2 linked regions of the Alligator mississippiensis genome follow. The protein of the gene in region 1 interacts with the protein of each later gene in a pairwise test. Links are inferred from orthologs where the notes say so. Each region holds a gene or a part of one and is shown on either strand. Other genes may lie near its edges. The genes, in order: PRR22 and NELFA.

Region 1 (16,575 bases):
GAATCCTGGCTGCTCTGGGCAGAAGAGGGGGGCCCAAACTCAGCTGCTTGCTCCATGGAAGATGCCCCTTGTCGCCCCTTTAAACTGGCTGCGGTTGGCTTTCACACCCTTTGCACTTTGCAACTGTGGTGGCATCGGATGGGCGGACTCTGCGTTCATCGCATAGCAAGGGCCCAGGTTGTACAGGGCTTCTCAGACCTTAGATTTTGCCTGGAAACCTGTCTTGTGACGATTTCTCTGCACAAGGCAATCTCCAAGAGCAGAGGAAGGGCCAGCTGTGTGCTCCCTCCGAGCCAGAGGCTCGTCTCCAGCAGCACCCAATTCTTGATGCTTCAGAGGAAAGTGCAATGGGAACAACGTGGAGGGGACGAGTTTCTTTAACTTCTGAGGCTGCGTTAAGAGAAAAATTGTGTGTGGGGTGGGTAGGGGGGGCTTTCTCCCCAGCTGGAACCGCCCCCCTGCTCCCCCAACTCGCACGGCAGCTGGAGGGATCTGCAGTGAGATGTCACCTCCATCCTTTCTATGCCCAAAAGTAGCTCGGATCCAGAGAAGACTATAGCTACTCCCATGGTTGTCATGGTAGCTGCATGATACTGAGCTAACTCGTGAGGGTCCCTGGCTGAATTATAATCTCGGGGGCTCCAATGGCTGTGGGTAGGAGCAGATCAGTCGGCCCTCCCGGGCCGTTAGCCGGTGCAGCTCGTGCCAGCCCCAGGCTGCGTCCTCTTACACCTGCAGAGGCGGCTGCAAGCAGGACCGGTCTGCCTTGCCAAAGCCCCTGCTGCCTCCTGTAGCCTTTTTTTGGGTGGGGGCAGCTGCTTCCTCTGCCCACCCGGTTCCCCCCCTATGCTGCACAGCAAGAGGAAGTAGGGCTATTTCCTCCCAGCCGCCCGCTCTGCACGCAGGCGCCTGGCTCAGCATCACGGCTCTGGGGCCTCGTTGCCTGCCCAGGACCGATCTCGTCAAACTTCAGCCTGGCTTTGTCCCAAGCTGGGGTCTGTGGGTGAGGGGGACGTGGGCAGAAGCACAGAGGAGCTGTTGGGGGGGGGAAGTCGCAGGCTCCAGATGGTAATTTGGCTCCTGCAGCTTGGGGCAGTGGGGTTTAGACCTTTCCTGCCGTCTCCTCTAGCGGGCAGAGTTCAAACTATTGGGCAGAGAGCCTCGATCCTCGCGTGCTCTGGGACCGCACAACCTTGATGGCTGCTCTACCACCAGGACCCCGCTGTCACTCCTGTTACGGGCCCAGCTCCCTGGCTTGCTGGAGGGAGTCCCCCCTTGCCGATTCTCCTGGGCCCTGCACCTTGACCCCGGTGTAAGGCGGATGTACAGTGCTACAGCAGTAAGCCGGTACCCTGGCTACTGTCACGGCACCAGTTCACTTCCCCGGGGACCTTCTGCACCTCGCTGCCCGTAACGTGGCCCGGGAACAACTTTTGTGCGACTGGTCTGAATGAGCTGTGTGTCTATATTCTAGGACAGGGCTGTCCAGCTAGCGGTCCATGGGCATATTGAGCCCCCAGGGATTAATCTGAGGCCCTTCCAGGCTCCCTCCAATGCTCTCCTGCTGCTCCTGCCAGTCTCCAGACTCCCTCCTTTAACCTTTGCTGCCTGCCCCACCCTTGGCAGGGGGAAAGGGTGGCACAGTGCAGCCTGCAAGGCCAAGCAGCCCATAGGCAGGGGTCCCCATGCTGTATATTGGGCAGGGGGAGGCGGAGAGGGCAATGTGGGATGGAGGCCACATGGCATGCAGCTGGGGTGAGGAATTGTGGCCCCCAGAAGACAGACAGGCCTGTTGTAGGAGAGCATGAATAACTCGGGACACATTGGCCCACTGCACCGTCTATAAATCCCTGCGAACAGCTGGTTTGGGATTCGGCATTTAACTCCCCTACATGCTTGGCTGTTGCATCCACTTGGTCCTTTCTACACCACACTCCCCTGTGCTGCACCCTGAGTTTTGCCCTTGCAATTCTCTCTCAAATGCAGACGCAGAGTATTTCCAAACAGATCGCTTTTAATGGGGGAATAAAAGGAATGTCCGTTCTGATCAAGTCATTCATTGCAATCAGCGGGCCTGCCCCGGCCCAGAATTGCTTCTGTACAGTCAGAGGGAAGGTGCCAGTCAGACAGCTGGCATGGGGCAGTCCTGCCCCTGGGACATGCAGCAATCCTGTGCAGAAGAAGCTTTGCATTTGCTGGCTCTGTGTTTGCCTTTCTTAGCAGACGGGTTACTTCGCTTCTTTTTCCTCTGGGGCTCCTGCAGGCCATCCTGGAGCGATGCACGGTTTTGGGGAGCTGGTAGCGCCCGTCCGAACTCCCACTTTGGTTCCTCATCGTTGGTTTTGATGTCGTAGAAATAATCCAGGCTTGCCACTGTGGTTAAAATCTCTGGCACGCTGTAGGCACAGGACAGCAGCTCCTCTGGCAGCTTCAGTGAGCTCATGTCTTCGCTTGGGAAGTCGCAGTCTTTCCTCTTCCTCTTGCTGGGCTCAGGGGGGCGGCTCAAGTTGTCCTTGGGGACCTCAGAGTCCGAGTTAGCTGGAGAGCAACCAAAAAGTTTCATTGCATCTTCCAGCAAAACCTTCTCGGGCAGGTCGAAGGATTTTTGTGCGTCCGCCGTTTCTCTTTCTTCAGCTGCAATGCTGTCCGGCGGAGGACAGGGTGTCCCCTCTGGCACCACCTGTGCCTTTTCAGCACCGGTGCTCGGAAGGGGATTTTGCTCTTCCATGCACACGTCCGGGGTCTGAGGGTTTGCTAGGAGGTTCTGGATCACATGATTTTCTTGAAGGTCTCTCCCCTCAGCTTGGTAACCATCAAACACTTGGAAATCCAGGTGGTGGCTTGGGTCAGGGTCGGTCGTCTGATTTAGCCTTTCCTCCAGGTGGTTGAGGGTGCCGACTTGGATGGGGGTCTCATTCTGGTTCAGGCCAGGCAATGTGATAAGGAGCTGGGGTAGTTTGTGGTCGCTCTTCTGAATTTGGCCTTCTTCCTGGAGATGAGGCACCTCAACGAGCTGAGAGTCGTGAAGTGGGTTGGGGACAAAATTAACTTGTTCTGTGACGCTGGTGAGGCCCTCTTGATTGAAATAAGGCATGATGTATTGGGGGTTGCTGGGGATTTGCTGATAATGCGGGTACGGGACGGTCTGTACAGGGCTCTTGAGGTATCTCTGAGCATCCAGGAGGTACGGGGTCTGCGAATTCGAGCCGCTGGGGAGCTTATAAACAGATGGCTGCACAAAATTGGTCGTTGCCCATTCTATACGGTATATCCGGGGATCGAAGAAACATCCGCAGGGAGCCATCTGGAAACCTGGGCAATAGAAATAAAAGCAGCTTTTTAAGTATCCAGACCACATAAGCATTCAGCTTGACTGAACCCAGCCCTCCCAAGCATGGGGCAAATGCTAATGTAAATTGGTGCTGGTCTATTGACTTCAATGAGGTTATATCAATTTATGCCAGCTAAGGATCTAGTTCTGCAATGGTGCATATCGGAGTCAAATTAGACACCGAGGTCTGGTCTACACTACATAGTTTTCCTGGCATGGCTATGGCAGCTGTGACCCCATAATGTAGAGAAGCCCATGGTATAACCTGGTCCAAGTCTGGTGTTTCTGGTCTGCATTACCAACTTTGGCATTCGGTTGGGCATAGGACTGGAAAATCAGAGTAGGTTCGACACCAGGTACGGTGTTTGAGATAAAATAAGAGGGCGTAAGGGAAAGTAGGTGTCCTCCGAGGGCACATTATAATGTTCAGCCCAACTTGCTGGGCCTGACTCTTTACTACCCACCGCTGGCACAGCCAGGACCTTCAAAGGGAGTTATGAACTTCACTCGTACGCCAAGTTCGGCCTTAATTCCTCTGCCGCGTGTCCCATACCTGCAGGCGGCGACATGAGAACTTCTTTGTCTTGACTGGAGGTCTGATACAGGTTGGACGTTCCTGAAACAGTAACACGGGAGTTCACGTCACCACCACGAGCAACCGAGGCTTTATCCGGGGAACCATTTGAAAGCGTGAATTAATGCAAACGTCAAAGGATTAGAGAAAATGGGAAAAAGAGGAAGGCCCCAGAGAGCAAGTAGCAGTAGGTTACATCCAGGGACAACATGTGCCCAGGGGAGAAGTTTTAAAGGGGGACAGGCTAGGCAGCGGAGCGGAGAATTAAATGCTCTTACCTACTGAGGTCAGGGTTTCTGGGAGGACAAATGCTGGAAGTGGCCTGTTCGCTTGGCAGTCTGCTTGGTCGAGAGATCTGGCACCGTAGGTCTCCTGGTGCTGGTAGAACAGCTTGGGCTGCTGCATCCTCGCTGCGGCAGGTCGAATGACAGTCTAGCACAACCGCTCTTTGGCTGCGTCTAGGGCAACTGGCTCCAGACGTGGTTGCCGCGGCTGGGACGTTCTGTTTTGATGGTTACTCGGGGGAAGAAATCCAGGTAACAACCGAGGTTCTAAGTTCCTTAAGGTGCTGGGACAGGTCACCTCCAAAGCGAGGGCTAGTTTTCATGGTAGGGACCTTAAAAAGGCTTGGTCCTGACATCGCTGTGTCTGAGGGTTATGGTGTTGTAGAGGGACGAGTGTTTGTCACGAGCTGTTTCAACAAGGGGCGATGGGGGGATCTATGGGATTCTTATAGGGTGGCTCAAGGCTGGTGTCGTCTTCGTCTTCACTACGGAGTCATATATTCTGCATGGCATAAACCAGATATGTTGTTTCATAGATTGTAAGGCTCCTCGGAAGATCATCGGGTCCAGCCCCCTGCACCAGGCAGGAAAGGTAACTGGGGGTCCAGCGACCCCAGCGAGGTGACCGTCCGGTCTCCTCTTGGAAGATCTCCAGGGTAGGTGACTGGACCACCTCTGGAGGGAGCTTATTTCACAGTGTGGACGCCCTGACTGTGAAGGAGTTTTTCTTTATTTAATCTTTCAATGCCTCAACTCGTTCATCAGGCATATCCTACCTCTAGCGTCTCTGCCAGGTTTGCCCCCCATGAGCATCTGTCTAGCCTCTCTCTCAGCCATATTATATATCCAAGCTCATCCAAATCCCTGGGAGCCCCTGGTAGCAAAGGGACTGATGGGTTCTGGTCATACCCAGGAGCAGAAGGATTTCGGAGAGGGAAAGTGCCCTCCATCGTATTCTTTCTGATGCACGGAGCAGGGGTCTCGTTTCTGGAGGCCCAAGGACCAGCAGGTAATCAGAAATATTTCACTCCACTTCCGGATGGTCGGGGTGGTCGGGGTAGGGGGGTGCTCATTTGCTCCTCCGGGCGGAGGACACGTCACCTGGGATTCACTTGTCACTTCGAGACTGCATGAGTGCAAGCTAGCAGACAAGGTGAAGAGCTAATGGCATCTCTGCGGTCTCTATTTCTGCTGTATCCTTTTTTGAGGCAGGGCGATGGGAAGGGAGCATAGCACTTTGATCCCCTCTCCTCCCCTCTCAGCTACTCAAGATGCAAAGCGTAATGGGTGTCGAAGACCCAAAATGAGAGAGGCTAGTACTGCTTAAATGTAAAATCAACCATCTTGAATAGATCAGAGAAACGATGGGTTAGGAAAAAAAAAAAAAAAGAGTGAGAAAACTGAGTGGGAATGATGGATATCGCTCTGTGCACGTGCAGAAAGGGGCAGCACGTGACATCAGTCTACGTTTAAGAATAATGACTGGCGTGCTGTTTCTCTTGGGCAAGTGCAAGGAAATCTCTGACTTGCGAGGAAAAGGTTTGCAAAATTAAAAAGCTTCTATCCGGCGACTGAAATCAGACAAAGCCATGAAGCGGGGGAGGCGAGCGTCAGTGATGATCTGCCGTTCTTTCCGTGCCAAGTAGAAAGCAGGTTAGCAGCAAATCCAGAGATGCAAGGCCAACATGTTTCATGAGTTACATTTTCCCCCCCGAGGGTGGCACACCAAGCAAAGGGACCCCCCAGCAGCGCCCAAACCTGGCGTGCTAGGATACTTCCTCTCTGCGCCGACAAATACGTCTGAACAGAGATTCGGTGCAGGGATGCTAAATGCTGATGGGAACTTCCACACTGCCGTCGTGTCCAAATGTAAACCCAACTTCAGTCCGATAGGTGGTGGTGTGTCCTCACACAGCAAATACATCTGCTGGATATGAGACATATTATCAATGCCTTTTTTTGCAAATCAAGGGCAAGTGAAAGATGGAATTATAATCCCCATTTGCCGCCTTTACCAAAGTTGGAAATAGGTAAGAGGATGAAAACTAAAACCAGTCCACAGCTGGATCCTGGCAGTCAGGCGTAGGCACAGCTGGGATTAGCAATAGGATCCGAACACTCGCAATGAAGTCTGAAATCCCGAAAGATGGATTTTCTTTCTGTTTCATGAGATGTTCCTAATGCGTCGCTTTTGTGAAATTATTACTCGAGTTTTAAACGGCATTGAAATATTCGGCAAACGGCATCAGATTCACTTTAATTTAAAAAAAAGCAAAAATGGTGATTTAACATGTGCTTGGACGCCGATTCATGTTTTCTGCAGAATCCACATCCCATGCCCTATGAAATATCAGGTGGGTGGGAACAGATGAAATAAGGTTGTGGAAAATTGTGGAAAATAATCTCATAAAAACTATCTGCTGCTTAACATGACTCTGAAATTATAACATCTCTCTGCCAGGGCTGCCCTTTCCCAGAGCAATATTAGTACTGGGGTGGGAGCGAGGGAGATATCAGTTAGACTCTGCTCTCGCCGTACAGTTCCCAATGACCACACTTCGCAGCTTGGTAGCAACCTGGAAAGCCTAAAATGATCCTGGCAATCAGGACTTGTAGTAGAAATAATATCTTTTATTAGACCAACACGATTTTTGCAAAAAAAGTCTTTAATTTTGCAAAAATCGTGTTGGTCTAATAAAAGATATCATCTCTACTACGAGTCCTGACTGCCTTTTCCTCTAGACCAATACGGCTACAACCTGCATACCTGATAAAATGATCCTGCTCGTTGCTGCGTTCAGCTGAACTACGGCACCAGTGCCCTCTACCGTCCATTGTAAGGGAAGTCTCCCAGAATATCATTTCTTCCCGTTCCCCCGCCTGATTGACTGCTCTGCTTCCTGCCCTGAGATGTCTGTCCTCTCCACAATCTGCCACATGCCATGCAGAGGTTGGTCACCCCAATCTATATTATTTTCTTTTTAAACTTTGTACAATATTCTTGATCCATCAAGGACAGGATGCCCAGAGCCTGCCGCTTCACTGGCTTGCATCTTGTGCGATTATGTGCACCCAATCCACGTGAAATGCCTGTGATACACAACCACTCTGATCCGGTTGCATTTTGCGTCCTGCCAGACACTTGCACTGTATTTGGACAAGCGACTGCTGGGCAGCAGGGAATCAGATCATTGCTTGAGGGCATGGACAGGTGCCTCTCAGGGTTGGCAAGGCAGTGCAGCTAGTGGCTCTCGGGGCAAGTCTTGTTGGATACACCCTGTCCACTTGCCCACCTGGACGTTTGATTTTGATACATGGTAGAATTCAGGCTGGTTTTGGTCCCTCTGCTCCATTCTCCTGCATCCAACCCAGGCTTGCTGTGCTACAGCATGCCTCTGTAGCATGGTCTCCAATGTGATCGTAATTTTAGCGAGCATCAGCTACCAAGTCTCTCTTCATCGTTCCTGTTTCTCTAGGCCTACGTTTGGGATTGTATTGTTCACCTGAACACGTGGAAACCATTCCTTCTCGCTCCTGTTCTTATGGCACTTGTCTGGCCTCCTGCTTCGGCGTCTCGTTGCTGCTGACGCAGCACTCTTGCCATTGCAAAGTGAGTTCTCACTACATAACTTTCCCCCTTTGCTCAGCTCCTTGCATCTCTAGAGGATGGAGACATCTGCAGGTAGTGTTCCTGGATCCCATCACTCAACAACATGGAGATAATGCAGGAAGGGAAGAAAACTTCCTCCCTGACCCATGGAGCACATTAGACTTTCCCTGGAAGCTGGGTCAGACAATTATAATTTTAACCTGCAGCTGTATCTATGAATCTATGAAACATCTATAAATCTATGTATGACCCCCGGTGCTACAGGTTTGCGTCACGCCGCGACAGAGCATGTAAACGGTACCTGGCCAAGAGATGCACTGGAACCAGCCCAAAGCCTGGGGGCTGCTCCCAATATAAATGGTCCTCTTCTGCACTACAGGGCTTCTTTCCACCTGGAAATATGCTGGCAGCACTGAATGCTGGGACCGACGGGTAGGCCTGCTTCTCCATCTGTCTATGCTGTGGCTAAATCGGGGATAAACCATTGCAAGACCCGCTCCGCACCAGCTGCAGTGTTACGTCGAGGAGGAGAGGGGCTGCAGGCCACCTGCTGCATGCACCTTTATGGACTCCATTTGCCAGCTACATGCTGCATCGAGAGCTGCTGCCCCCCTTGGATCTCCTGATGAGTAAATGCGATTCCTGATTAGACACAGAAATACTAGGCACTGAGATTCACTGAACTAGGGATCAGGTTTGAAGCGGGATCCAAACACTATAACTCGTACTCTCTAGGTCTATACACTAAACCCTGCCACTTCCCCATACATATTCTTGGTGCAAAGTACCCATAAACATGCCTTGAAGAGCCTCTGAACTAGGCCACGGCAGTCTAAAAGCCTGTAATTAGCTCAATCAGGACTCGCAGTCGAGGTATCTTTTATTAGGCCAACAAGATGTTTGCAAAAACATTTCTTTAATTGCAATTGTAATTAGCCTGTTATTTTTTGAGAGGTAAGGATTGTTTGAGGTGAGATCTTTCATTGGACCAACTGCATGGTTGGGATAAAGCTAGACAAGCTTTCAAATGCACGGCATTTTTCTTTCGGTCTGAGCATTATTTTTAAGTCTCTATTTTTAGACTAAAAAGAAGTCTCTTCTTTTTGAGTCTGTTAGTGCATACCCCCGGCGGGGAAAATAGCCTTGCTGCTGGCGTGGCGCTCGATATAGCAAAGTGAGGTCTCACTGCATAACTTCCCCGGCTGGCGCAGCTCCTTGCATCTCCAGAGTATGGAGACATCTGCAGGTAGTTTAAGCTGCTCTAAATCGATCCCAGCCATGCCACTGGGCCAGCAAAAGATACCACCCCCCCCAAAAAAAAATCCTTGCCTCTTGCCAATTAACTATTACATTTTCTTTGTCATCCTTTCTTTCTAGGCTTTACTGCCCCCACCTTCAGCCCCTCGTAGCTTGGATATTATTGATCCTGATTCCTCTTCCACTCTCCTGAGTCATGTTTTAGCTTCTGGTGGGTTTTGTTTTTTTTTATAAGACTACGTAGCGAGCTCTTGAAGCATCTTTCCCCCCCAGAAGGAAGCCAATTAGTGACAGCTGTGAAAGCAGCAGCCCGCCGGGAGCCAGCCTGAGATTCATCAACCCAATCCACAGAACCCATCGAGTGATAACGCCCTTCGGTCTCTGCTAATCCGCTAATCTGCTAAACATCTGAATCAATTTGCCTGAGATAAAAAGCCCGCTGAGCCATGTGATCCCCTGGTAGAAGTGTCTGGAGTTCAGCTGCTAACACATCCACTTTTTCTTGACAAAGAGGCTGTGGCTGAAGACAGTCTGGCAACCACTTTTCTCCTGTGAGTAGCTGCATTAATGTCTTCTATTCTGTGAGATGCTCCCCAAAAGGCAGGGACGCTCTTGGTAGTGCGTAGCACATCCCTTACACTCCTGCCACGTTGCACAACACTGGTATCGATGTTCCAGGAAACCTGGGCATCCCTCTAGTCCAGCAGCTCTCAACCTATTTAGACTTGGGACACCCCGTGGAAAATGCCAGCTGGCAGTTTTCACGTGTTTCTTCGGCTACATAAAAATAACAGATCCATAATAGACACAGAGGGTCCGAGTGTTTTTAACACTCTGGATTCCTGTTTGAAATCTCTGGGTTTCCTTGTGAATCATGTTAGCACCCTTAGGGGTGCAGACACTGTGCTCACCCTCAAAGAGATCTCAAAGCACCGCACGGCTGAGTGCTCCAGCTCCTCTTCAGATGGGACCAATATACAGCTACGGAAGAAGGAGCAGGCCTGATGCCATCCAGAGAGCAGGAAAGTTACTCCTCAGCATCATCCCTGCAGGTAGCGCCGACATGGCTTATCTCTTCTCATCCGCTGAGTGTCTTACGGACACACAGCTGAGCCCTGTGTCAAACGGAAGCACGTGCAATGCAAAAGCAAACTGCTGGGAATGGATGAGGGCATGCTTGGAGGAAAGGGGTTACGGAGCTGAGTTTGCAGGGAAATCGGTGGTTGCATTTTCAAAATGGAAGGAACAGATTTGAGGGCCTTCCCCAGGTTGTTCTGGGTGCACTCCAGCATAGGAAGAGCTGTGAACCCCTTGAATTCTGTCAAGCCCCCCCCATTTCCATCTGCTGTGAAATAGGAACGGGAGAGGCCTCCAGGCCTCATTCACCAAGTGCCTTAACATGCTCTAAGGCTCTGGGCCCGATTCCCTGCTCATTGCAATCATTTAAACTGCAATGAAGTAGGTGTAAAACACAGCGCGTCATTCTGATGTGCCTTGTAGAGCAGCAGCAGCAGCCGCTCAGGAGCTGGGATGGGAGAAGGGAGCTGGATCTGTCCCCCTGCCATGGTAGAAGGGGGAAATGGGCCAAGGTCTTCGTAATGGTTCCAGCTGACTCTTAACTGAAAGGAAATGCCTTTCTGTGGGTCTTTCTTCCTCAGCTATAAGTGACATCCTGGAGAGGACAGTGTAAGCGATGTGGTCATGACTAATCCCATGTGGCCGCAGGGTGGAGAGCTGGATTGTTTCTGTGAGTACGTCTGGTCATCACAGCAGACACCACCTTTCTCCTGCCCCTTCCTTACAAGTGTTTAGGCACCTAAGGAAGGAGAAAGAGACTTAGTGGGATTTACAGCAGCAGCGGCTTGTATAGTTTTGTACCCTTCCATGTCCTTAGGTGGCTAAACACCAAGCAGGAGCTCCTCGTGTAAAACAGACATCTAATCATAGGTGTACATGCATCCCTACAAGTGCACGGATGAGAGGTACGACATACCCGATCTACCTGCAAATTTAATTACAAGAGTGTGTAAAGCTCTCATGGCCTCTCCTCCTTCACATAAGCACCTGCACTGCTTAGCAGTTCTGTGGTAGCTGACCAGCCCCACATATTTGCAGTTTTAGCAATTTTTTTACTGAAATTGTTGCCTTGGAGGCAAATAAGGAATTGACTTTACTATTGAACACAAGGAACTCATTTAAGAAAGAGAAAGGGAACCCCTCTATGAAGTCTCACACCTTGATCAGCAGCTGAGACCAATTCCATTAAGTTTTCATGGTGCATCGTCACCTTTTCTTGCTTAATTCACTCTCCTGCAAGATTTACAACGTGGCTGTGAAATGCTGGAAGCAAAGCGTGCTCGTGAGAGGGGGAATGCAGTTACAATTCGATCGGCACAGACAAGGATTTACTTTTCATTTCCTTGCCTGAAAAGTAACATGGACACTTGCCATTATGGGCAACCCGAGAACAGTAAACCAATTTATTTAGACAAATCTGTACAACAGGGGTCGGCCATCTACAGCCCATGGGTCAGATCAGGCCTGCAGATGGATTGTATCTGGCCCGCAGAGGACAGCCGAGGCATTCAGTAGTGGGGGAATCCAGGACATGGGTACCATGCAGTGGTGGGAGAAATGAGCTGCAAAGCAAATAGGCAGCGGCTTGTCTTAGACCAATCTGTTAATTTGGCCCGCTGCTGTGTATGAATCTAGGACCTCATTTCACAAAGCGCTAAGTCCCCCAGTTCAGGCATAAGCCACTGGAAACTGCAGAGGCTCAGCATCCTTCAAATACACACCCAACACCATTTAATACTGACATACAGTAACTACTCTGGCTTCCAGTTCTTTCGTGTGCGCTCATTTACACTTGCGTGAAGTGAATGACATGCACTTGCTTATGCTTGGAGCATTTTTACACTGGCTTTGCCAATACAAGTCACACCAAGGGGGAAAGGCAATGGTAAAAAGATAGGTAGACATTGAATTCTGACTTGCGCCTGGTAAGCAGTGATCTGTGGAGAGCGATTGCTGTTGTGCAACTGCTGCGTGGCGTTTGATCCTTTGAGTGGGATTTTCTGAAGCACGTAGATGCACAAGTCTTGACGGCCAACAGGACTTAGGCACCTAAATTACTTGCAAGCGTTGGGAAAGAAACTGCCTTTTGCTTCAACATGGCATGAGAAGGTTATTAAATCCTGCATGTGACAGCCATTATAATAGGCCCATTTCTATTCATCCCTAGCTCTGGGCTGAGGAGAATGGTCTTTTTTTAAAAGTAAAGTTTCTGTTAGGATGTAAAAATAGCACATCCTTAAACAGCAGATCTTCTCTGTGTGGGGAACTGATGAACCAGAATGAGTTTCTCTTACTGTCTCGTTGTTATTAGTGTTAGACAGGGTTGATGACACAGCTGGGGGAAAATGAACTAGTTTCTGGTTGCTGTTCGGACATTGATAGATGTTTAAAATTTCAGCTGCAGCATCTTTCCTGTTGCAGCCAGAGGCATTTGTGATAGTTGTGTTGTGCCTGGACATGTGTCATGTGTGCAGTGTATTCGCTCGAGTCTGATATTACAGTCTGACAAACTGGAAGAAAACCTCTGATGAGATTAGCCTGGGAAGGTCACAGGGGGTTTGTTACTCCACGTGCCAATCTCAGAGTACTTCAGCCCTTTTGGAACTACTTTCTCTTGCAGTAAAATTTTAAATTCCCTCATCACTCCTTTAAGAACCTAATTTCAATGCAAAATCATTTTGGGAGACCTAATTCTCCCCCCGCCACCCCACAGGCTTTCAGATACACTTACTCTCTTAAACACTGGGTCTAATTCTATGAATGTGCAGCTTGCCAGGCTTCATTTGGATTCAGGGGGTCTACACTTTGCAAAATTGGCCCCATGGATTGCTGCATCTTTGTCCTCTTGCAGAAGGTGGCTTTTTGGAATAGGGATACATTGGTGCTATTGGCAAAGACTATGGCAAATGGTCAGCCCTTGCTACACAAGCACTAACACAAGATGCACATGGAAATGCTCCAGAAAATTCAAGTTGTGAACTGAGCAAAGCTCCTAACCAAAAGGTACTTTATTATTCAGCAAAGGTCAGGAGAAGCCTTCAAAGACAGTGTAAAGAGCTATGCAGGAAGGAAAAAAGAGTCTACAACAGTGGTTCTCAATTTTTTTTTTTTGAAGATGATTCAAGGCACCCCTAGTTAGACTCAAGTACGCCCTTGGAAAACTCTAGCTCTTACTTATTTCTTGACTATGGAAAAATAACAGACCAGTTCTTTTGTTGCAAAGATCTCAAAGCCCAGAACGCTGTCGATACTATGGATCCCTATTGGTAATCTCTGGGTTTATCATCTGAATCATGTGCCGATGTTTCCACAGGAGCAGTCAGAGAGACTCATAGACATTAGGGCAGGAAGGGCCCTCACAAGATCATCGGGTCCAGTCCTGCCCAAGGGGCAGGAAGTCAGCTGGGGTCGGATCACCCCAGCAAGATAAGCATCCAACCATTTCTTAAAGGTATCCAGAGTAGGTGCTTGGACCACTTCTAGGGGGAGGCTATTCCAGACTCTGGAGACTAGGATGGTAAAGAAATGTTTCCTTACATCCAGTCTAAAACAGTCTTCCAGCAGTTTGTGACTGTTAGACTTTGTCTTCCTGTGGGACACCCTGGTGAACAAATGTTCTCCCAATTCCTGATGCACATCCTTTATATATAAAGTATAGGCCTAATATTGCATGGCAACCCATGGCACCCTTAAAAAGGATCTTATGACATCATCTCTGGTTGAGAATCACTGACTTAAAGTTTAGGGCATTATCTTAAGACTAAAGTGACAGGTTCTATTCCCTCCTAAGCTATGCACCCCCCAGTGTGTCCTTGTTCAAGTCACTTAGTTTCTCTGTGCCTCAGATCCTCACCCATGAAATGGGGATAGTATTGCTCAAGTTCATAGGTGGATTTTGAGATCAATACATTAAAGACTATAGGGCAGAGTTTCTCAACCCGTGGGTCACAAGAATATATGAAAGGGTCATGAACCAACATTAAAAATGCATTCTCCTTTCAAGGAGAAAAATGTGGGAAACTGTGGCTTTTCCCTTGCAGGCTGGCTGAATTCCACCCTGCAAGGGGCTGCCTGGGGCACCCCTTGCCCCACACACTGTGGGGCAAGGGGCATTGGGTCAGGAGTGAGGGGCACTGGACTGGCCATCAATGCTTATAATTGGGTCCTGATATAAAAAAGGTTGAGAACCGCTGCTATAGGGAACATTATTGTGATAGAAGATGCATAAGTATCTTAGATAAGCTAGAACTGAGATGTTGGTAATAGGCTGCTCAAGGACCAAAGCTACCAGTATTCTGGCATCTGTCCCCAATTGCAAGGCTACATACAGACAACACATCAAAACTGCAAATAAATAAATAAAAAGACCCATAACATTTTATTTGGTTCCCAAACACGGCAGGGTCATCTGCATCTCACCAGAGCATTTATAGTCTTCTCTTGATCTGCTGGTTTAAGGATTTCCTGGTCAGTACTATCTGTAAGAATTCGCCTTGTGCTTGGGTAGGAAGGTGAAGTTTGTAGGAACAGGTCCCAAGAGCATCTCACTGCAACAAAGCAAGAGATTGGTATTCATTCATACCCTGATCCTCACGCTACCTCCTGCCAACACCCGCTCCAGTCCAAGCTGTGCCCTCTTCAGAGTATGAACTTCAGTCAAAGTTTTCTAACTCGGTGTCTAGTAATTCAACTCCCACAGACCTGCAGTGGGAATGAGGAGCCTAAATTCAATTTGTGCTCTTAAAAATATCCTCCCCTGCCTATCCTGCTGCTTATGCAGAGCCACAGGCTGCTCGTGCTCAGCTATCAAGGGCCACATGCCTAACTGCTGTCAAATAATACAGCTCTACTGAAGTCAGTGGGGCAATGGTGGCTTCCATAAGCTAAGGATCTGGCCTATCAATCCTAATATATTTCATATTTCAGAACTCAAATTATATTTAAGGTTGGATAGAATATTTGCTCTTATTGTATTTTTGTGCCTTCTTTATGCACAATTCCTGGACGCTACTGTCTTTTCAATGTGATTTCATTACTCTTTTCCATTCCAAGACACATAAGTAGGGAGTCCCACTAGAACAAGCAACGGCACACCAGCAATTTTACATGTGTTGCACAAATATGCAGCTACCGGAGCAGAGAACAAATAATGCACACTTCTACAACTGCCCTTCTGGGAAAAGATGGGTGCTTCTCTAAATATTTTATTCTTTTAACGTGAAAAAAAAAACTTTAAAAAGTTCTATATCTACAGTGAAAAGCATAGAACTGAGGTTTCTGAATCCTAAAGCCAAATAATCTCTGCTTGGAAAATGCCATTTTGAAAACATTGCTGAAATTTAGGTGCAAGACAGGTGTTTTCATTACCAATAAAGCAGACACAGATTAGCAAAATCAGAGAAGGCTGCAGTCATGCTTTATTTCTCCTAACGTCCTCTATATCCATGAGATGGGAAGTAGTAGCTGGAATTTCCACCTAAGCTGAGGCCGGCTAAATACCTGCAGAGTAATTGTCTGAACAACGACGACTTTTTGGATGCCATGAAAAATGTTTCCTGCATTTCATAACATTAACTCAGGAAATATGTAGTGTTGAGGGAGGAAAAGTCAAGCAGCCCCTCAAGTCCATTAGATTGGAAGCTCTTTGGGACAGGACCCATTTTTTTGGTCGGTCTGCACAGGGCCGGGCACCGTGGGAGCCCAGTCCGTGCTTGGAGCTTTTGGAGGCTGCTGCTGTACAAATGTATCGTGAGCACTGTGGAATCTCAGATGTCAAGGCATCACATTATATTTTCCCACTCTTGTCCACCTCTCAAACAGTAACTGGTTACCAAGTGTTATCAGAAAGACCAGTTCCTCTTAGGTTTCAATAGACATACCCAGATGTGATCTACAAAGGCATCCGTGGACAGATACCAACAATGGGAGGATCATATGGCACTACCAGGTTTAACCAAGAAGCAAGGGACTGCATAATCTTCATAGCTTACAAACTGGAAAAGCAGATGTTTCCGCCACCGAGTTGGAAAAACAGGATCAACCCTATAAAATGTGACGTTCTCCGAACCCTCCACACTGAAATAAGATGGTTCTAGTTCTGAAGGCGCGCACGAGCAGATACTGAGATTTAGCTGAGTCCAGGATTTGAACATTAAGCTGTAGGGAGACAACAGCTGTGACCACACGCATGCTTTGTGGCAAGTGATGTCAGACATTTACCTTATTTTAACCCAGTCATCCACATTTTGGCTTGCCATTAATGTCTCCAGATAGTCTCTCCCCATATAGTAAGGCGGTCGCTCGTTGATTTTCTGAGGTAGATATTCCAATAAGCCAGTTGGAATGTACCTTACAATGCAAACAGATGCAATGAATGTCGCCACATTTGATTAGTCTTCAAAATACAGACGATGCAAAGGCCGAGCAAAAAAAAAGCTCTTTG
Region 2 (16,574 bases), on another chromosome or scaffold:
GGGAAAGTTATTACACTATGCTTTTGGTTGCTAATCAAAACATGTATTATCATACTGGAAGATGCAACAATATTAGCCAATACCAATAAGCTGTTACATCTGTATGATTCTGAAGTGCAGTGGTTTCCAATCTTTTTTTTATACTATGGACCGGCAAACTCACTCAAAGAATGTTGGCAGACCGGGTATAGAAACAATTTAATTTACATATTTAAATTTAATTTATGTGGCAGGGGGGAGGGGAGGTTGCGAGGTACATCAGGAACATCATCAGTAAAGGAGATGACAATAACTAAAATTCATACATACACATTGCCAGCTGGCTAACATTACCTAGCTAGCTGCTGAGGATACAAGGAGGAGACAAGCCAGACATTAGTAGCTACGGCAGTCTCTCTGATACAGAAGTGACTAGCCACAGTTACCGCAGTCCAATTTCAAAAGCTAAAGTCACACTGGCCAAGTGACGATATTCTTGCCCAGCCAATCAGCATGATGTGGGCGTGGCCTGGGCATACAACTGTTGCTAGCAGTGGTTAAAGCTCGTGCCACGACCTGGCAGCCAACCCTTTGGGCCATGGCCTGGTGGTTGGGAATCTCTGCTGTAATGGCACAAGGAAAGCAAAACTGTTTCAACTTTAACCCTGCTTCATTCAAGGTCAAATTTCACACAATTTAGCTCACTTACAACTCAATGTCCACTCAATTTGCAATTCTGCAGAAACTGCTAAATCAACTTAAAACATTTAATAAAGTGCTAGCTCCCCAATGGGAGCCAGTAAACCTTGCTGCTGCTGTGGCAGCCCAGTCTGGGGGCTGGGGTGGCGCCAGCTGGTGAGGCAACACAAAGGGCAGCAGACAAGATGGGGCTGCCCCCCCCCCCCCCGTCCCTCCACCGGGGTCTCTCCACCAAATGGTGTCAAGGGGCAGGGCCACATGAAGGGCAGCCAGCAGGCAAGATGGTGCACCCCCTGCCAGGCCTCTCTGCCAACCAACCAGCACTGAGGGGCAGGGTCGTCAGAGCACATTCAGGAAACATCTCCAGAATGTGCTATTTATGCCATGACCAGCCTGTGAAAATTTAGTTCCCATGATTTAGGTAGACCCCTACTTATAACACAATGGCTCGGGAAGATAGAATAGTTACAGAGCAATAGCCAACGTGCACACTAGAGGACAAAGCTTCCCCTCCCCTTTAAAACAGCTGAAACATATGCTTCCCATATTCTTAGCCAGTAGCAACAGACCCAACCTAAACAACATCCACATTACTGACACTTCACACAATGATTTTTTTTTAATTTAACATTTTAGTTCTTCATTTATAGATAGCTCAGGCTATGAAGTACAAGCTGAAAGTTGGACTTTTTAAGTTTTTTTTTGGTTTTGTTTTGTTGTAAGATTTGTTTAAAGGTTAAAAATTAACCTGCCTCAATCTATCCAACCTTTAACAGAACGGAGATGTGGCTTCAGGTAGTTGTGCATACCAGGCCATAAGACAAACAGAACAAAAACTAGCTGATAACTATTAAGTCACTGGCAACATACAATATTAACATTAGAGATTTTATGCATGGAAATGCAGACCTAATATGGAGACTTGGCCTTTTCCATCTCCAATTGCGTTTAACACTGTAAATTGTACAATATGTATTGCAATGTTTGCAGGTATTCAAACATGGCAAGTTATCAAAGACAGATTTTCAGCCTTCAATCTGCATTTCCTTCCCTTTATTGATTTAGAACGGGACCCCTCTTATGCAAACATTTCACTTGCTTCATGCTGATGTGTTTCTTTGCTCTCTTTAGACTATTAACTTGACTTTCTGTTCTCCATTCCTCTCTGAAAACACCTTCAGACCTCAAAAATAAAGTCAATTGCTGATGGTCCTTTTGATTTTGCTGCTTCTTACACAGTGCCTCCCTTCTACCACAAACCTGTTTCATTCCCCAATTTAATTACTATTAATACTATGGACAGAATCTGTTTCCGGGAATTTATAGCCCTTAAACCTCCACTATACCTCCTATTCTTTCCCAGCATGGCTAAAACTCATACTTCGCAATGAAACACAAGTAGACTAAAGGGTAAGAAGGAAAAATGGCATTTTCCCTACAAATCCATCAGAAGTGATTTCCACTACAGCTAACAAAAGAATGAAGTGGGAGCAGAAAGAAAGGATAAAATACTTGAGGATGCCAGTCTACATTTTCACCTCCCACCCCCCACACGAATTCTAAAACTTTAAAATGGGGACTTTCAGGGCCTGTAAATGTAACAACTGTATAGTCAACAAACCTTTCTGCAGGTTTAAGTAATATGGTAAAAAGGCCCCCAAAAACCTGATAAACACATCTACTTTCTGCTAGGTTTAACATTAGTCCAACTGAACTAGTGATTTTTGTTTGGCAAGTTTCTAACACTTCCCCACATTCTGTCTGTTCTTCTTAAGCTGTTTCCTACATTCCCTCACAGCCTGTGTCAAAGTCTAGCCTTTTCTTGTTTTGATCAGGAAGAACCTGATCCCAGGTTGAGCTTACAGGGCCAGCAGGTAAAAAAAAAGTTAACTTTTATTTGCAAACTGAGCACACTGTTGTGATGAGTGTCCTCATTTTTAAGTAGCGTTGGAGTGATGTTGTAGCTGTGATGGTCCAGGAAGTGAGAGGCAAGGATTTTTTGTGGGCAATATATTTTACTGGACCAGCAACATAGCTGTAATAAACTTAGACAAACTTTCAAAAGTAATGCATTCATATCACTCACAAAAATCCATGCCATTTTTACTTTCCAGAGAACCACAAACTAATGTAATTAAGAGTATTGAAGATGTTAAGGTCAGGCCCAACAAATTTTGTCAGTTCTCCTTGCACACCTCATCTGAAATGCAAGTGTTTAGCAAAAACAGCTTTAAAAAGGTATGAAATTGGTATACAGAAAAACAAGGTGCCAACAGTAATTTGCACAGGCAGCCAAATGTTTCTCCAGAAAAGTCTGCTAACAAATCAAATGTATACCTCTCCTATTTCAGTTTTGGATGTAAAACAATACTGTAAAGCTTTAATTTAAACAAAATGAGAAAAATGAAACTAATTTTCACTTGTATTAAACCACAATGAACACTATGAGTAAACAAACATTTGGGGTTAAAGAAAAGAAGAGGAGAAAAAAGAAGAAGTAAGAATGTTTTGGAAGAAGCCCTTTTGGAGCTCTTGCTCTAGAGCGCTGTGGACTAAACATTATAAAGTGGATTCACAACTAGTTATGAAACCTGACATGTTGTAATGGCTCTGTGTCAGTACAAAAGAAACTGATGCAGCATTTTCATTTAACCAAAAAATGTAGTAAGTAATAAGTATGCCAGTATTATATGTAAATGATACAAAGACAGAAAGCATCAACTACACGTGTGTGCACGCGCTATAAATTAGCAGTGCACCGATAAAGCCTTTTTTGGTTGATACTGATGGCTGATACTGATCTGATTGCCGATATGCAGCCCGGCAGCTTGGAGAGCAGCTTCCGGCTGGTAAGTATGTGGGACGGGAGGGGCATGGGGAGGGGAGCAGATGGAGGTCCCTATGGTGAGGGAGGGAATGGGGCTGGTGCAGGGGCAAGCGCTGCCCAGCCAGGGCAGGGCACAAGATAGACCTGCAAATGGCTTGTCTGGGGGGACATGGTGGAGGGGGAGATCCCTGTGCTAAACGCACCCTGGAGGAGACATAGGGGGCATGTGTCCCCCAGATTTGTGCATGGGGTGAGGGTGGGCTGCCTGCTGTGGCCTCTTCGGGGGGGGGGGGGGGGGTTGCCCTAAGGCTGCGCTCAGGATGGGTGGGGGCAGTTTACAGAGTGGGCTACAGCCATCCTAAAATTTGCCATAGCCACCCTGTAGCCCACCTCCCAGCGCTGCTTCTTGCCTCACTCTCCCCAAGTACAGCCCCAACCCAGCCCCCCTGCTGGCAACAGGCTAGCACAGCCCCTGACCCTGAGTGCACAACCCATCCTTGTCCTGCACAGATTTCTGGGGGTCACAGCTCAAGGGAGGTAAGAGACACAACATGAGTACAATGTGCTTGTGCTCCCTTGTACCTTGTACATGTGCTGATTCCAACTTTGAAGAGTGCATAAGGTGAAGGGTCTCCCCACTCAAGTAGACTAGCAAGAGGGGGCACTGCACTGACTACCTTCTACCACGGGGGCATCAAACTCATCTTGCCCCATGGCCTGGATAAGAAGTATGGGACTGAGCTGCAGACCAGACTGGGCCCACAAGCAGCCCTATGCACCAGAGGCAGCGCACAGAGCATACCCCACACTAGGCTTGCATGCCAAGTGCAGCAGTGTCAGCCCCAGCCTGGGACTTAAACTTGAAGCTGGCACAGGGAACATGTTGCATGCAGCACCTGCACCAGCCAGGCTGAGTGCTGGCTTTGGTGCATGAGGGTGGTCTGTGGGCCAGTTTGGACTGATCCCAGAGTCAGAACATGGAGCAGGTCCAGCAGGGAGCCGTATGCAGCATATACCCCAATCAGCCCCCTGTGCCACATGCAGTGTGTGCCTGGTCCAGCCCCACATGCTGCATAGAGCAAGTTAGCCTTGATCCAGGGCTCACACAATGCACACAGTACATTGGGCGAGCATGAGGCAAACACTGTGTGGCACTCACACCAAACCAGCCCCAGAGTCAGTGTCAGTTTGGGTGCCCAGTTCAGCTTGTGCATTGCATGCAGCATACAGAGCTAGGGCCACTATGCGTTGCATGAGGGGTCAGCCCGAGACCCATGGGCCAGATCCTAGGTCTCCACAGGGTGGATTTTTGATGCCCCTTCTCTACATCAATGACTCTCAACCTTGATAGAATCAAGGCACCCCTCAGAAAAATGCTAAACTCATAGTTTTCACTCATTTTTTGAGTGCAGAAAAATGATAAAGCAATTCTTCTGTTGCAAAAAGCTCAGACCACAACAGATCAGGATGTTTTGTCACTATAGATTCCTATTTGATATCTCTGGGATTATCTTGAGAATCATGTGTAGGTCTTTGTGCAGCACCCTTAAAAGTATCTTGCAGCACCCCAGGGGACCATGAAACCCCAATTGTGCAGCAGAGCTACGATGGATAGGACCATCTCCCTCACAGGACATTCCAGGGATAGCAACACACACATTGCTCTTACTCTGGCAGGATCAAAAACAAACAAAAAAAAGATAATCACAGGATAGTTCTACCCGAGTATGTGCAATGCTGGCACAAAAATTCACATGCCATAGGTTAACAGGAGTACAATGTGCAAAGTAAATAAATGTCATTATTCTGACCAAAAAAAAACAAACAAAACACCAACCAGAAACTCAAGTCAACACTGCACTGAGCTTTAGGCATCATTTGAAAAAAATGTGCTTAGCTTAAAAGACATTAGGAGAAAAAGGAAGAAGTTTAAAGAAACAGAATCCATGAAAAAGCATTCAAACGCTTCCATGTTTACCCCAAAGAAGTACTCCATGAGTATAGATTTGACAACTGTCTACAAATACAAAACCAGGGACCAATTATTCTTACTAGTCAGTGATGACAAGCAAGCAGTAATGGGGTTTACGATAGGGTAAAGAAAACACTGCTTGATTATCTATTCCTGCCTTAAGATGATATTAATTCATTAGTACTGGTAAAAAAGTAGAGCTCCTGAACGAAAGGTACTATGGTAGCTACAAAATATAAAATATCAGGGAGAAGAAAAAAGAAGCACAATACTTAAGCAAAGGACCAAGCTACCAAAAGGAGACTGTAGAGATATCCTTGTCTGGACTTGCCTAACCTTCCCTGGGAGAAAAAAAAAAAAAGTGGACCAATGATCCACTAAAAAACCTTTTTAAAACCAAAGGGCATCAGACAGTCTAATAATCCACGTGTTTCACTGTAGTTAGACGATCAGTCCAAGAGGTATTCCACCGTTACAAAGCGCACGTAATCCATCACTCATTTAAAAAGTGAGAGATTCTCTGTCACATGATACTTGTTACAGAGTTTATGATGTTTGTTACAGATATTTTCTCTGTGAAGTGACAGAGCCCCTTGGGACTGCCTTACTCTTCCGTTAAAGAAGTGTAAATGCAACCTGACACGCAGAGGGCACACACAATTTAAAGACTCACTATGTACACCACCCGCGGTGCACCAATTACACGTACAATGCACAGTTTAGATGCACAAAGCTGATGCAATGTGGGTCCTAATCTCATAATATTCAGGTGCCAATGCTGTGCTCCTGTAACCTTACCAGTACACACGTGTATACAAGGAGTCAGAGGAAGTAGATGTACAGTGCTCCAAAAGTACAGAGACAAAGTCAAATTTGAGGCTAACTTGTTCACAGAGAGAAAATTGAATGGAGAGAAACTTGAAGTTGTCACCAGACAACTTATACAATTAAAATCAACGTGAATATAGATGGCTTTTCACTTTCCTGGAGTCATCACTCTCCTGTATTAAAATACATCAAGACTGACAGCCCGCTCAGCGAGACATAACGCACACAACATAAATAACGGTCCGCTCCCAAACACTAAAGAAAAAAAGTTGTTGTTTTTTTTTTAAATGAAAAATTAAACACGGCTTGTTTTAAAAAGCAGCACATGACGAGCACCACCCGAAACCTGGCAGCAGCAGGATGGGTGTAAAGCAGTAAAGCAGCCTGCTGGGGGGACCGGCCCCTTCTCCCTCCACTCGCCGCTGACCCGTGCTGCTTCATCAGTCAGGCAAGGGGGGGGGGGGGGGGTGTCCCTCCCCCAAAACGGTTTGAATGCACACAAAACCAACCGCAGAAATAAACTGCCTGCCCAGACCAGTTTCCCCTCTGTAAAACCCAAATAATAAAAATAAAAAACCGCAATAAAAAAAACCAAACCTTTCATTTCCACCCAGGAGAACTCTGACCGTCTCCCCCCCCCTCCCCCACCCGGTGCCTGACGAAGGGGGTTCGTGCCCCAAAAGCTTCCCATTAAAAATGTATTATTATTATTATAATTTTTTGCCAAAAACAATCTCGTGGGTCTAATAAAAGAAACTGCACCTCTCCCACGAGTCCCGACATTGCCGTGTTACTACGGAGAAACGCAGGGGCAGTTTGTGTCCGGGACGAGTCTGCCTGAAGCGGGGGGAGGCCCGAGGCCGGGCCCCGGGCTCACCTCGTCCACGGCGCGGCGGGGCAGGTGCAGCATCCCCAGCAGCAGCTTGAGCTTGACGGGCGACGAGAGGCCGTGGAAGCAGAGGCGGATGTTGTCGATGACCGAGGCCGTGAGCAGCGAGGCGATGCTGGGCGGCGCCCACAGCTCGTCCGTGGAGCCCAGCTTGTTGTGCAGCCACAGGCCGGTGTCGCTCTCCCGCATCGACGCCATCTTGGGAGCGGGCCGAAAAAAGAGGGGGTTCTGCACGGGCATTTTATGAAGACACCTCAGCGGAGGCAAGAAGGGGCGGAGGGGGCGAGGACCCGCGCTTTTCGTCACCCAAAATGGCGGCGCCCAAGCGCCGACGGGAGGGAGGGATGTGGGAGGGGGTGGGGCCTGTCCGTAATCTAAAATGGCGGCGCCCAAGCGGGAGGGATACAAAATGGCGCCGGGCGTTGCCGTACAGCAATATGGCAGCGCCCTGCTAAGGGAAGCAAGCCGGGAGGCTGTGAAGCGGCTACATGACGAGAGTATCATGTGACAGTATCGGGACAGCCCCCACGGGCTTGTCCTCCCGCACGTGGCGGGAGGCGGGTGATGAAACCGGCGTGTAACGCGGCCGCTGCGGCCTTGTCATGCTCTCTGGGGGGAAGGGGCACTGCGTGCGTGGGTGTGCGCAGCGCCGGCCTTGTCATCCTCTCTGGGGGCGGTGGGGAAGGGGCACAGCGTGCGTGGGTCCGCGGGGCTCCTTGCTTTCCACGCAGGAAGAGCGCGCGCACCAACTGCGGATGCTACCTCAGCCTGACCGCGGGGGTTTCAACCCGAAAGCTTGCAAAGAGGAATTTTAATAATAATAATAATAATAATAATAAAAGATTAGACCCCCAAAAACGTGTCCGCCTGTGTGTTTTGGTTACAACCTCCGCCCCCGAGATGCTCCTCGTAGCACGCAGGGGCGCAGCGTGGCGCGGCGCGGGTCCGGGCGGCCTGTACGGCAGCTGCTGAACCCGAACGAAGGCAGCCGGCCCTGCCGGGCGGGTTGGGAGCAGAGCGACCGGCCTCGCGCGCCCGGGCAAACACATGGTGCCATGTGAAGTCCCGACGCACGCTCTCCCTGCGCGCCTGCCCGGCCCATGCGAGCTCGTTGCTATTTAAATTCGGCCCGTTGGGCTGGGCGGCCAGTCCCCAGCGAACGGGGCGCGGAGTAAACGAGTTGTCTGCTCGTAGTCTTGGAAATTGGGGGAATTACCTCCTTTCCGTTCTGGGAGCCCGAAAGCTTGCAGAAAAAAAATGTATATATATATTTGTTGCAATTTCTCATTTGGTCCGATAACAGGGCTCATCTCTGAACCAAGAGCTCTAGGTTTTTGCACTTCTTTTTGTCTCGGACCAAGACAGCAACCAAATACATTGCTTACCTCCTTTCCGGGCTTTTGAGAAGACCCTGCGATTTATAATGATCTAGCTAAAGAGGAGTTTACTTCCTACCTGGCTTCTCTGTGGGGGATGAGCTGGGTGGCACAGGGGAGCTTTACACGCTAATCCTTCTGGCCTCTCTGCTGCTGCAATGTTGCTCCTGATTTGTGCAACTTGTTTGTTTCTAATTAGTGTCCAACATGCACAGTGTTTTGCAGCCCCTAAAAAACCTCAGTTCATGGAGTGCTAGTTTGTTCCCTGTCTATAAAGTGCTCTGGCACTGGCGACGCGTAGGGGCGGCACACGGGTGCACACGCGCCCCCTGAGATTGGCCACCACCAATGTCGCTGGCGGTGCCTGCGGGCAGTCGCTGCTCGCCACCCTCCGCCCTCCTTGCTGCCAGCGGCGTCGGGGGTGGAAAGATGCTCTAAGAATGGATGATTAACACAAGGACAAGTGTTTTTTTCATCCCAGCCAATCATTTCAGAAATGGCTGCAAGTAACAGATGTATTTTACTAGTGCTATAAATGCATATGCAGTATATATAAAGAATTATGACCCATTCTTATACATACGTGTATATACATATACTTGTATTTGTATATAGGAATGGGTCATGATTCTTTTATATATATAAATCTTAAACTGCAGTGTCTGCACTGCATGTGCATTTATACCACTCTGTATATCTGGGTATATATATGGGTATAATGGGTCATGATTCTTTAGGCCTTAGGGGTGCTGCGTAGTCAGAGTTTAAGTTATTCTCTAGTAAATGGCTTATTGTGGCCCTGGGCAAACCACTTCACCTCTGTGCTTCATGTTATCCAGGTGGAATTTAGGACTGGGGATAATATTTATCCGTACACAGATTTGGAATTTGCTTGTATAAAACAAAGTTAGATATAGGCAACAGGTACCTTGGAACCAAGCAGAAGTGATCAAAATGGAAATCTAGCTTTTATTAATTTTAAACAAACTAGAGGTTAGAGGTGCAATTCTGGGTTCCACACTTCAAGAGGGATACGGATAACCTGGAGAGGGTCCAGAGAAGGGCCACGCATATGGTCAAGGGCCTGTAGACCAAGCCCTATGAGGAGAGACTAGAGAAACTGGACCTTTTCAGCCTCCGCAAGAGAAGGTTGAGAGGCGACCTTGTGGCTGCCTATAAGTTCATCACGGGGGCACAGAAAGGAATTGGTGAGTATTTATTCACCAAGGCGCCCCCGGGGGTTACAAGAAACAATGGCCACAAGCTAGCAGAGAGCAGATTTAGACTGGACATTAGGAAGAACTTCTTCACAGTTCGAGTGGCCAAGGTCTGGAACGGGCTCCCAAGGGAGGTGGTGCTCTCCCCTACCCTGGGGGTCTTCAAGAGGAGGTTAGATGAGTATCTAGCTGGGGTCATCTAGACCCAGCACTCTTTCCTGCTTATGCAGCGGGTCGGACTCAATGATATATTGAGGTCCCTTCCGACCCTAACATCTATGAATGTATAAGGCAGCACCAGTTGCCCATGGTTACAGGAATGATACCCGAGACTTCATTTTGGGGAGAAACCAGTAATAAACCTCAAATGTGGTCCCAATTCATGGGTTGCCATCTTGATTTGCCAAACAGCTCAAGTTATTATGGACAATCGAGTACTCAGTCCACAAGCAACAGATATTACTCTGCACGGCACCACGTTGGTACACAAGCAGCAGGCATATTACTGGGTCCTTACTGATATCCTACAACTGCAGGTAAAGGCAGCAGTGTCTGATCCAACACTGTGGTCCAAAGCAGCTGAATATGAAGTGTTTTATGTATCACAGACACACAAAGAACCCTATGATTAGGGTTGAGCAGGTAAGCATTAAGAAGTTAAAACATGCTAAAATTAAGGACATTTATGCAACATTAACCTGGCTGTCTTGTGTTCATATATAACTTCTGATGCTTGACTTTGCCTCCTCAATAGACATCTTAGATTTGAACAGCTGCATTCCCCCATGATCCCATCCGTTAAAGCTTTCAGAAGTTTAAAACTTCACGTGATCTGGGGAAGATTTTCACTGAGAAAGGCACAATGCTGATTACAAGGCTGTTCTCTCTGCTAAAGGTTAGGTCCAGGCTGCACAGAATTGGAGTGTGTGGGGATTATGAAATATACTGTAATTATGCAATAGGTGATGGAATATTTTATTATTCGTAAATCTTCCAGGTATCCATGATTTGAGAAACAGACAAGCAGACACATGCACACACAGGGGGTTGAAAAGCTACTGTTGGCAGGATAAAGTTTGAGGAACCACAGATAAATGAACAGGTGGTGAATGATGGCAAGGAGATTGGTAAGCCAAGGAGTAAACCTGAAGGTCTTGAATGAAGCCCATTAGTAGTACACAAAGTAAGAAAGAAAGTTTTGTGTATTCGGAGTAACAAGATAGATTTGTGTGAAAGTTTGAGGCTAGATCAGGGGGATAACATGGGGTGAGAGAAATGGATTCTTGCTAGTGTGAACTGATCTGTTGGAGCCAGGCAGCCTGGGACAGGGTAGAGTCTCTCTCACTAGCTCAGCTGTAGGTATTCTGATCAAATGTTTGTACCCATAATTACTGTGTGGGTGCAGTTATTTAATAAGCATTGTAACACTGCTAGTGGTGCTTGGTATTTTGTTACAGTATTTTAGGATGTTTGTTTAATGTAACTAAAAAACAGCTGTTGGTCTTTGGATTTACTTAAGGCATTTTAGCAGGATTGTTGATACAGGCATTTGATTCCAGCAGCGCTACACCTTTTCCAAGGGGGTATGCTCCAGTCTGGGCCTGAGTGGGACCCTGCCTGCTATTGCTACTTTGGGGTGCAGTAGGCCATCCCATGTTTTGTGTCCTGGAACTGAACTGAGAGCAGAGGCAGCTTCTTTGCTCTCAGAGATAATCTTCTGGGCCCAAGCAGTTCATGGAAGAAAGGTGTCAGAATCAAATTTAGTCAGGGCAAAACAACTGTTTTTTTCCCTACATCTTTCCTAAAAATGGCTTTGATCTCCACCCCCAAAACAAAACAATACAAAACACCAAAAACCCAAAATGAAAGCTGGTAGGGTTACTGTATGCCCGGGGTTTCCCAGACATGTCCTCTTTTTTGGTCCCCTGTCCTCATGTCTGGGCAGGTTTTTAAAATGCAAGCAAATGTCTGGGTTTTTGATCTGCCTCTGCTTTTTCTGGCTGGTTGCTTGGGGCTGGGAGCAGTAGGCAAGGTGATTGGCTGTTGGGGATCATGTGCTCTGCACAGCTGGGCTGGGGGGGAAGGGTGCTGCAGGTTGGGAGCGAGGGGCACCAGCAGGGCTGGGGGGCAGAGGCTGTGGGTCCAGAGAGCGGGGCACTGGCAGGGCTGGATGGCAGGGGCTGCAGGTGGGAGTGAAGGGCACTGGCAGTGCTGGGGGGCAGGGGGTTGTGGGGTGGGAGTGGGGCACTGTGGGTTGGGAGTGAGAGGCACTGGCAGGGCTGGGGGTCAGAGGCTTAGGAGTGAGGGGCAGAGGCAGGACACGGACATATCACTGCCCCCCACCCTCCGTCATATGCCACGTCCCCTCTCCTCTCCTCTCCTCTCCTCTCCACCTCCCCTCACTATCTCGGCCGGGCTGAACCGACTCGAGGTGATTCAGAAATTACTCATTTGTCAGGGTGGGCTGGTGAATGGAGAGGCTGACAAGGCTTAATGGTTGCAAAAAACTTTACTTACGTCGCAGGTGGCTGCGACGGAAATGGTTCGGTCGTTTGGACAACAATGTGAGTTGCTCCAGCTGGCGAGGCCAATGCCAGTAAATTTGTCCATAACTCAAGCCAGCGGGAAAAGGGTACGTCTGGGATTGCGTTCGGCGACAGGAAGAAGGGTCGATAGGTGATCAGTCTATCGATCAGCTAGCTGCAAGTCAGATCTCTAAGAGGCACTCTGCAGCGTGCTCAAAGCTCTTTGACTTGGGCGGAAGTCGTGCTAGTTTTTAAACGGCCAGCAAGCCAATTACCGGCCGCCACGTGTGAATAATTTAGCACTAGCCAATTGCGGGGCACAAATTTACATCTGAATGGCGGGAACTCTTTGCACTGTGCATTTCTGTGCTGAAAAGAGAATGCATCCTGCAAAGACAGCTGCAAAGTGGCGGGAACTCTCTCCTGCACGCGGATTCTTTATGCAGTAAAAACCCTCGCTGTGCAAGAGGCTCTCATGTGTCAAGAAAATTTCATAGTGCCGAGGCACCAAACTCACTGGGTTATGACACTCACAAGTGTCCTTTTTTTGATACTGGAAATATGGTAACCCTGGGAGGTAGATCGCTGGAATTAAAAAATTCAGCCCAAATACCTGGGGAAGTTGTGGAATCTCCTTGATTGGTAGTTTTTAAGAAAAGAAATGTATCTAAGATGGCTGAGGAGTAGCGCATTCTTCCTCTGTTATGAAATACACCATCTTCCTGCTCTATGATTCTATGATGAAAGTTTGGCAAGTTTACTGAAAACAAGGCTTCTTAATGGAAAGTCTCAAGCAACCCTATTATGTAGGCAACCTTATCATTAAACCTGGCTCCCAGCACCAGGGACTTAGTATAGAAACAATATCTTCATGGTCCATTATAATCTTCCTGATACTAACTAACTCCAGGTAATAATGACTCTACTTAACAAGGTTTTGTTCCATCTGCTATTTAGTGCATCCCTGTCTGCATTTGTCTCCGAAGCCTGACAAAGGGTACTGTGATACTGGAAAGCTTGCTATACCAACTACAGTGCTGGTCCAATAAAAGATACCGTGAACAAGAATTCTTGCCTTTCTCAAATCACAGTGTTTCAAAATCATACATACGTGACTTTTTTGTTTGCCTACACTTTGTACAAGAAAAGATACAAAAGAATAAACAAGGGGCATGTTAATTAACACACTAATTTATGCTGGGGTTACCCTGACCGAGGACAATTGATGTCAGTTTTGCAAAGTTACTAGTAACTTGCCAAACAGCTCAGTGAAACCCGTTGCAACATTTTCTTCCAACAGAATGAGATGATGCAAACACAAGTAATAATGAAGTCAAAGGATATAAACCCAAGTAAGGTTGATGTCAAAATGAAGGATTCTCTCTTATAGTTTCATAGTTGTTAGGGTCAGAAGGGACCTGAGCAGATCATCAAGTCAGACCCCCTGCCATGGCAGGAATGAGTGCTGGGATCAAATGACCCCGGCGAGGTGATTATCTAGCCTCCTTTTGAAGACCCCCAGGGTAGGAGCAAGCACCAATTCCCTTGGAAGTTGGTTCCAGATCCTAGCCACCCTAGCTGTGAAGTAGTTCTTCCTGATGTCCAGGCTGAACCTACTCTTAGTCAACTTGTGGCTGTTATTCCTAGTTACTCTGGGTAGTGCTCAGGGGAACAGGGACTCTCCCTTTACCCTCTGGTTCCCCCTGGTAAGTTTATAAATGGCCACCAGATCCCCTCTCAGCCTTCTCTTGTGGAGGCTGAACAGGTTCAGGTCCCGTAGCCTCTCCTTGTAGGGCCTGCCCTGCTGCCCCCTGACCATGCGAGTGGCCCTCCTCTGGACCCTCTCCATGCTGTCCACATCCCTCCTGAAGTGCGGTGCCCAGAACTGGACGCAGTACTCCAACTGCGGCCTGACCAGTGTTACATAGAGGGGGAGGATCACCTCCTTGGCCCTGCTTGAGGTGCATCTGTGGATGCATGACAAGGTGCTGTTGGCCTTCTTGACCGCGTCCCCACACTGTCGGCCCATGTTCATCTTGGAATCAATAATGACTCCAAGATCCTTTTCTGCCTCTGTACTGACGAGAAGGGAGTTCCCCACCTGTAGGTATGCTGCTGGTTCTTTCTCCCTAGGTGCAGTACCTTGCACGTGTCAGTATTGAATCCCATCCTATTTTCATCTGCCCACCCCTGTAACCTGTCCAGATCTAGTTGTAGCCTGTCCTTCCCTTCTAGCGTGCCCACTTCTCCCCACATCTTAGTGTGATCTGTGAATTTGAACACTGTGCTTTTCACCCCCTTGTCCAAGTCACTGATGAAGACGTTGAACAGTGCAGGCCCAAGGACCGAGCACTGGGGGACCCCACTGCCCACATCCCTCCAGGTCGAATAAGACCCGTCCACCAGCACTCTCTGGGTGCCGCCCTCCAGCCAGTTAGTGACCCATCTGACTGTGTAGGCATCAACACCACAGTCGCCTAATTTTTTAATGAGAATGAGGTGAGAGACAGTGTCAAAGGCCTTCCTAAAGTCCACCGTGACAGCTGCGTCCAAGGATTTTGTGACCTGGTCATAGAAAGCCACCAGGTTGGTCTGACAGGACCTGCCCCTGATGAACCCACGTTCATAGATTCATAGATGTTAGGGTCGGAAGGGACCTCAATAGATCATCGAGTCCGACCCGCTGCATAAGCAGGAAAGAGTGCTAGGTCTAGATGACCCCAGCTAGATGCTCATCTAACCTCCTCTTGAAGACCCCCAGGGTAGGGGAGAGCACCACCTCCCTTGGGAGCCCGTTCCAGACCTTGGCCACTCGAACTGTGAAGAAGTTCTTCCTAATGTCCAGTCTAAATCTGCTCTCTGCTAGCTTGTGGCCATTATTTCTTGTAACCCCTGGGGGCGCCTTGGTGAATAAATACTCACCAATTCCCTTCTGTGCCCCCGTGATGAACGTATAGGCAGCCACAAGGTCGCCTCTCAACCTTCTCTTGCGGAGGCTGAAAAGGTCCAGTTTCTCTAGTCTCTCCTTGTAGGGCTTGGTCTGCAGGCCCTTGACCATACGAGTTGCCCTTCTCTGGACCCTCTCCAGGTTATCCACATCCCTCTTGAAGTGTGGCGCCCAGAATTGCACACAGTACTCCGACTGCGGTCTGACCAGCGCCCGATAGAGGGGAAGTATCACCTCCTTGGACCTATTCGTCATGCATCTGCTGATGCACGATAAAGTGCCATTGGCTTTTTTGATGGCTTCGTCACACTGCCGGCTCATGTTCATCTTGGAGTCCACTAGGAGTCCAAGATCCCTTTTCACCTCTGTGCCACCCAGCAGGTCATTCCCTAGGTTGTAGGTGTGCTGGACATTTTTCCTCCCTTGGTGCAGCGCTTTGCATTTCTCCTTGTTGAACTGCTTCCTGTTGTTTTCTGCCCACTTGTCCAACCTGTCCAGGTCTGCCTGCAGCTGTTCCCTGCCCTCCGGCGTGTCCACTTCTCCCCATAGCTTTGTGTCATCTGCAAACTTGGACAGAGTACACTTCACTCCCTCGTCCAAGTCACTGATGAAGACATTGAAGAGTATCGGTCCAAGGACCGAGCCCTGCGGGACCCCACTGCCCACACCCTTCCAGGTCAAAACTGACCCATCTACCACGACTCTCTGGGTGTGACCCTCTACCCAATTCGCCACCCACCGGACTGTGTAGTCATCCAAGTCACAGCCTCTTAACTTGTTCACCAGTATGGGGTGGGATACCGTATCGAAGGCCTTCCTGAAGTCCAGGTATATGACATCCACCCCTCCTCCTGTGTCCAGGCGTTTCGTAACCTGGTCATAAAAAGAGACCAGATTGGTCAGGCACAATCTGCCTTCTACGAACCTGTGCTGGTTTCCCCTCAGCATAATTTGTCCTGGTGGGCTCTCACAAATGTGAGCCTTGATAATTTTTTCAAAGACTTTGCCAAGGATGGAGGTGAGACTGACTGGCCTATTGTTGCCCGGGTCCTCCTTCCTCCCCTTTTTGAAAATGGGGACCACGTTGGCCCTTTTCCAGTCCTCCGGGACTTGGCCCGTGTGCCACGAGCTTTCAAATATTTCCGCCAGTGGCTCTGCAATGATGTCGGCCAGTGCCTTCAGTACCCTCGGATGGAGCTTATCTGGGCCTGCCGACTTAAAGGCATCCAGTTCTTCCAAGTGACTCTGCACCACCTCAGGGTCTACGCATGGAAGTCTGGCACCTTGCTGCTGCCTCTCTACAACCCCAGTGAGA

What was found.
Region 2: the proteins of PRR22 (region 1) and NELFA interact in a two-hybrid assay, tested with the Homo sapiens proteins (2 studies listed by BioGRID). The two-hybrid records come from large-scale screens. The link is inferred for Alligator mississippiensis from reciprocal best matches to the Homo sapiens genes PRR22 and NELFA.

What each region holds. Positions count from the first base shown.
Region 1 is NC_081839.1:5,973,557-5,990,131, reverse strand, and holds PRR22 (proline-rich protein 22), read right to left. Parts: upstream 6,808-16,575; 5' UTR 4,311-6,807; coding exon 4,184-4,310; intron 3,948-4,183; coding exon 3,885-3,947; intron 3,313-3,884; coding exon 2,123-3,312; 3' UTR 2,014-2,122; downstream 1-2,013. Other genes in the region: DUS3L (tRNA-dihydrouridine(47) synthase [NAD(P)(+)]-like), read right to left, coding at 14,608-14,680, 16,353-16,481.
Region 2 is NC_081825.1:18,990,925-19,007,498, forward strand, and holds the start of NELFA (negative elongation factor A), read right to left. Parts: upstream 7,480-16,574; 5' UTR 7,435-7,479; coding exon 7,183-7,434; intron 7,175-7,182; exon of another isoform or gene 7,089-7,174; coding exon of another isoform or gene 7,068-7,088; intron 1-7,067. UniProt on the Homo sapiens protein: Essential component of the NELF complex, a complex that negatively regulates the elongation of transcription by RNA polymerase II.